Ovis aries: one gene and its partner. The protein of the gene in region 1 interacts with the protein of each later gene in a biochemical or structural test. Links are inferred from orthologs where the notes say so. Each region holds a gene or a part of one and is shown in the gene's direction. Other genes may lie near its edges.

Region 1 (3,825 bases):
CCCTGGCAGATTGAGTCATATGTGTGCCGAATGTGTTCCCGAGGGGATGAGGATGACAAGCTCCTGCTGTGTGATGGCTGTGATGACAACTACCACATCTTCTGCTTGTTGCCTCCTTTGCCTGAGATTCCCAAGGGTGTCTGGCGGTGTCCAAAGTGTGTCATGGCGGTAAGGACTTCCCAGCCCCAATCTATGTCTGCCTCATAGGCTGTCCTTGCCTTCCTTCATCTGGTCTTACTGAAAGCAGCCTCCTAGCTCAGCCACAGTCTTATGTTTTGGGTCCCTGAGGTTGGTCTAGGTTGGGCAGAGCTTTGGGAGAAAGAAGAGGAGGGCATTCAGCCTGTGTTCTCTGGAAGCTCTCAGACCACCTGGGGAGTTGAGGTTCATAATTAGATTGTATATGATGACATATAATCAAATGTTAAATTGTGTGTTAGAAATTCAGATGTAGAAGTTCAGAGGAGAGGAAAGTGACTAAGAGTAGTAATCAGGGAAGGTGTCAGCAATTAGATTTGGAGGACAGGAATATGAAGAAAAAAATGTTCTTTTGATTTCCAAGTTTTTTATTTTTTATTTCTTTTTGAAAGCTTGGAAAATAGACAAATTACCTATCATCTTACCACCTAGAGATAACCATTGTTAATAGTCTGGTGTATTTTCTTCTCATCTTTTCGTTGTTGGGTATATATAACTAACAGGTCTGGGATCATACTGTGTACTTTCATTTGTTACTTTATAATCATTTTTCTGTATTATTTATTCATGGGTATGATTTCTTGTAAAGGGTTCATCATGTGGGTATAATATTTATTATTTTCCTTCTGTTGTGATAATTAAATTGGTTTGCCCTGTTGTAGACTTCAGTTACAAGCATTGGGCAGACTTTCTAGACTGGGGGATGAAGGAGTTCAGGAGTAAGGATATGTGGGGATAACATACCTAGTGCAAGAGAGGCAGTGAGGAGAACACCTGAAGCAGCCGTGAGGGCTAAGAGGCCTGGTAAGTCTGCCAGTTTCATTTCATGAGCCTTTTACCTTAATCCAAATTCTGGGTTGCTCGTCTACATCTTTCCCTGGGTTTCTGGGAGAGTAGATGTTGATAGTCTCTCACCCTGTCAGCTGTGGTCATAGAGTCCAGGTATGCATGTGCACGCGGATACACACACATACACACACACGAGGAAAGAGACTGGAGCAGTGTAATGCCTTGGTAGTGGTGGGGATTCCTTTAGGGAGGAGTTTGAATGCCAATAGTATCATAGACAACAAAGATTGTCAGGTCTACTTAGCTCTCTTCTTTAAGTGGTCTTGGGCTGGTAAACCAGGTTGACATTTAGATTTCAGACATGAGCAGAAGGTGCGTCTGCCTCGGGTACATACAACTCTCATCTAAAACCATGAATATAAGTACAAAATGAGTCAGACATATGTCCTGTCTTATGAGACAGTCTAAAGAACAGAAAGTGTGGAGTTTGACACTAAGGGTTGTTGTCTTTGTTTCCCATCCTCCGAGCTACTGGAATATTCAGTGTTGTTTTCCCAGGTCTGTAGTTCCAGTCTCGGCATAAAAAAGTTTCTCTAAGCATCCTGTATAAGCTCACATTTTGTCTTGAAAGAAAGATAGTGACGGAAGAGCATGGCGTAGCATATTAAATCAGAGCCCATGGTTTAGATAGTCAAGTCCTGAAGGAAGAGAAGATGAAAGCATGGTAGAAGTGCATGTGAGGAATGAAGAGACTTAACTGCACTGAAGTGCTAGGAGAAAAAGATAGAGCTATGATGTGAGACCTGCCTCAGGGGCCTTCAGTACAAACCTAGGGCTGTTCTCCTTCCCGATTTCTACCCCATATTCCAGCTCAGCTTTTGGGGATTCTCCACCTCTTTGCCTCTGCCTTGGTGACGTGTTCTCCTTTGGGTTTCAGGAGTGTAAGCGCCCCCCTGAAGCCTTTGGCTTTGAGCAGGCTACCCGGGAATACACTCTGCAGAGCTTTGGCGAGATGGCTGACTCCTTTAAAGCCGATTACTTCAACATGCCAGTACACGTAGGTGATGGAGGGCTGGGGTAGTGTCAGGGCTAGGGTCATAGGCGCCTGATGGTCTATAGCTCACCTGGGTCAGTGGGGCCAGGATGTGATGAGCCACAGTCATCAGCTACCCCTGTTCCTTAGATGGTACCCACAGAACTTGTGGAGAAGGAATTCTGGCGGCTGGTGAATAGCATTGAGGAAGATGTAACTGTTGAGTATGGGGCTGACATCCATTCCAAAGAATTTGGTAGCGGGTTCCCCGTCAGTGACAGTAAGCGACACCTAACCCCTGAGGAGGAGGTGAGTAGATGATTCATGGTTATATTCAGCTGTGTGACTTAGGCAAGTCCTTCAGTTTCTGAAAGACTCAGTATCTCTATAGGAAGGGGACTGTTATCCCTGCCGTATGTGTTGCTGTGAGATTTAGATGGGAGGATGTGTGTAAAGAGCACAGCCTAGTATCTTGCATGGCATCTCCAGCCATGAGATTGGCTATTTTTTGTCTGTAGAAAGGGAATAGTATCCATTTCGCAAATTCTATAAGAATTAAATGAGAAGGTATTTGAAGTACCTGTCAGAGTACCTGGCTCATTCATAAGACGTGTTCAGGGACTGGGATTGTTAAGTGCAGGAAATAAAGAGGCCCTAGGCCTGTATCGCAAGAAGGGTACATTTTGGTCCAGAGCAGGGGCTTTTAACTGGCAGGTACTTTGGCGAGTGGGCACATCTGTAAACTTTCCTAAAATTGAAGTAAGGTGAAGTGAATTGAAATTTTTTCTATGCATTTGAGGGAGGCAGGGGGAAGAACATCTGTAGTATTTTTTAGACATTTCAGAAAGGTCTATGACCTCAAAATTAAGGTTCCCTGGGCTAAAGAACTCAGCACCTTAGCAAAACTCTCATCTCTTTTCCACAAATACCTGACCTATCAGGAGTATGCTACGAGTGGTTGGAACCTGAATGTGATGCCAGTGTTGGAACAGTCTGTACTGTGCCACATCAATGCAGATATCTCTGGCATGAAGGTGCCCTGGCTGTATGTGGGCATGGTCTTCTCAGCCTTTTGTTGGCATATTGAGGATCACTGGAGTTACTCCATTAACTACCTCCACTGGTGAGTGGGGTCCTGGGCAGCCAAGGAAGCATTCAGGGTGGGCTCTTTGAGTGCCCACTCTACGTGTCCCCTTTCTTTTTGGCCAGGGGTGAGCCGAAGACCTGGTATGGGGTACCCTCACTTGCAGCAGAACATTTGGAAGAGGTGATGAAGAAGCTGACACCTGAGCTCTTTGATAGCCAGCCTGACCTTCTGCACCAACTTGTTACCCTCATGAATCCCAACACCCTCATGTCCCATGGTGTGCCGGTGAGTGCCTAGGAAATGGGCAAGGAATAGGAATGAGTTAGTGATGTCCCGTATGGTGGTGGTGGTGGTCATTGTCTAGAATATACCCCCATGCCTTTCTCATTCTTATTCTCTCTTAATCAGACTGTAGGTTTGATGGAAATAATAGTGGTTAGAGATACAGTGTGATGGTGAGCCTCCTGGGCCAGATGTTTTGGGGCAACACCTTAAGGGTGGATTCCACCAGTAGAAGAGGGAAATGAAGGAAGGACTGGGCAAGACAAGTCTCCTTACTGTTAAGGGCACACATCATTTTCATTCACCTCCTATTAGTCATAACTTAGTCACATGGCCACATCTAGTTGTGAGAAAAACTGGGAAATCTGATTTTTATTAAGGATGGTCATGTACCAGCTACAAATTGGAGGTCATATTATGGAAGAGGGTGAGAATGGAT
Region 2 (2,431 bases), on another chromosome or scaffold:
TAAAGGTGACTTCTAAGGCAACCATATATCACAGATACTGTCTACCTTGTGTTTAACGTTCAGGAAAAACTCTCAAAATCACTTTTAACTTCAGGAAAGTGATCATCATACCTTGGAGCTATGTTTTGAGCCTCTTGGGCCTAATTTTATTCTCAGGTTTGAGTTTTTATATGGGATGTTGTTCCAATCAAATAAGCATATTTTAAATATATTTGTTAGTTATTAAAATTTTAAGCATTGGTAACCTTACATAACTTTTGTTTTATTATATGTAATTTTCTGAGAAATTCTTCAAAGCACAGGAAACAAAAGGCAAAAGATCTTAAATTTCTGTATAAAGAATATAAAAGATTTGAAACTGTAAGCATTAGGAAACACTTTATTGAAAATATGCTAGCAACTCAGTAATCAACGAATAATTTATGTGCTTTGATCCTTGAACGTTAAATGACTAATAAGCAACTTGACTATTTAAAACTATTCACTATTGTAAGGGAGAAATTAATATTTCCGGTGTTATTTTCCCTTACTTAAAGCGTTTTGTCCATAGGACCTAATTATGCATTGATGGATTGAGGAGAAAACCGCACTCGGGGGATGGGGGGAGGCAGACGGCTCTGAGTTGGTAAGCATCAGCACACAATTTTGGTGTAGTTCCGAACCGGGTAAAGGTTAAGTTTAATTTCCGGTTCCTTCAACTACATATTGTTTTGTTGAACCTCAGTCGTAATGTAGCTCTCGCTTAGCTCAATATCAGGAGCTAAATAAATGTTAGTTATGGGAGAGGAGTTACAATAACTAGTAAGTGGAAATGCAGGCTGAAACCTAGGGCGTGCTTGTATTCTTAAAGAACTTGCTAAAATATAAATCCCAAGCGTGCAAAAATACTTCATAGATTGTTCTTACGAAAGTTAACAGCAATATAAAGAAAAGGGCTTAAAAAAAATGTGATAAGATTATAGAAAAGGACTGGAAAATGGAGGTTGTAAGTAAAGAAACTAGCATTACAATCTTCTGCCCAAATAGGATTGAATTCTAACCAATGAGATTACAATTTCGGAAATTGCTAGCTTTTCTGGTCCAATCAAGACTAGGCTACGTCTATAAATGAGACTGCCTAGGGGGTCGGTGAATAAAACCTGTGAGATACTATGGCGCGTACGAAGCAGACTGCCCGCAAGTCGACCGGTGGCAAGGCGCCGCGGAAGCAGCTGGCCACCAAGGCGGCTCGCAAGAGCGCGCCGGCCACGGGCGGCGTCAAGAAGCCGCATCGCTACCGGCCGGGCACCGTGGCCCTGCGGGAGATCCGGCGCTACCAGAAGTCGACCGAGCTGCTGATCCGCAAGCTGCCGTTCCAGCGGCTGGTGCGCGAGATCGCGCAGGACTTTAAGACCGATTTGCGCTTCCAGAGCTCGGCCGTGATGGCGCTGCAGGAGGCGAGCGAGGCCTACCTGGTGGGGCTGTTTGAAGACACGAACCTGTGCGCCATCCACGCCAAGCGCGTGACCATCATGCCCAAAGACATCCAGCTGGCTCGCCGCATCCGCGGGGAGCGGGCTTAAGGCGTACTTTTAAAAACAGACGATCTAAAGGCTCTTTTCAGAGCCACCCACGTTTTCTTAAAAAGCAGCTGTACCAGCTTTCACTTTAGTCGGTGAACTCTTAATGCACGAGTGTTACGGGCAAAGCGGGTAGGAGAGTTTAACACGCGTAGAGTGGTGAGGTTATGGAATTAAAGCTGACAGACACTAGAGGGAGCCCCAGAAGCAAGGTCTGGGTCGTTTTTAACTGCGCTTACAAGCTGGTTTTCTTTCTTAATGCAGAGCTCCAACCTAGCCTTATTTTTTTTTGGAGAACCTAACCATTGCTGAGAAAACTTTGCAAGAAGCTAAATTCTCTGCTATTCGTTTTTAGCGCTTTCCAAGCTGCTAGTACAAAACGTTAGCACAAATCTGAATACTGAAGAAGGCCGTCATTATGTGATAACTGTAATCGGTTTCAGCTCAATTCTACAGTTACTAGAATTAGGCCAGATGTTAGATAAAATCCTCGGTCCCCAAGTAGTTTCTCGGTACTTCAACTGTTAAGAATGGGGACAAGAATCCCGAGATACGTAGGATCCCATCTTCCTAACTGCGTGAGACAGAAGGCGCAAACTGTAAAAAAAAAAAAAAGGCGGGGGAGGGGATAGGCGGCTAAGGTATCGTTCCGAAAACCAGAACCAAACTTACCCAAAATAGTACAGAGGAGTAAAACAATGCAAAAATAAGAGAAAGTTAGCTTGTCTTTAGCACGCGCTTCAGATATCTACTATATACAAGTCAATGAGAAAAAGTGAAAATCATTTAACAAAAGACCCCAAACAGGTGAAACTATATTTACTTAATTTAATGTGAAACAGAACATTTTGATTGGTTAACAAGATGTTTGT

What was found.
Region 2: the proteins of KDM5C (region 1) and histone H3 form a complex in vitro, tested with the Homo sapiens proteins (3 studies listed by BioGRID, with this or other methods). The link is inferred for Ovis aries from reciprocal best matches to the Homo sapiens genes KDM5C and H3C15.

What each region holds. Positions count from the first base shown.
Region 1 is NC_056080.1:51,102,436-51,106,260, reverse strand, and holds part of KDM5C (lysine-specific demethylase 5C), read left to right. Parts: intron 1-9; coding exon 10-168; intron 169-1,921; coding exon 1,922-2,041; intron 2,042-2,167; coding exon 2,168-2,326; intron 2,327-2,958; coding exon 2,959-3,140; intron 3,141-3,226; coding exon 3,227-3,389; intron 3,390-3,825. UniProt on the Homo sapiens protein: Histone demethylase that specifically demethylates 'Lys-4' of histone H3, thereby playing a central role in histone code. Does not demethylate histone H3 'Lys-9', H3 'Lys-27', H3 'Lys-36', H3 'Lys-79' or H4 'Lys-20'.
Region 2 is NC_056054.1:99,937,009-99,939,439, reverse strand, and holds histone H3, read left to right. Parts: upstream 1-1,134; 5' UTR 1,135-1,151; coding exon 1,152-1,562; 3' UTR 1,563-1,612; downstream 1,613-2,431. UniProt on the Homo sapiens protein: Core component of nucleosome. Nucleosomes wrap and compact DNA into chromatin, limiting DNA accessibility to the cellular machineries which require DNA as a template.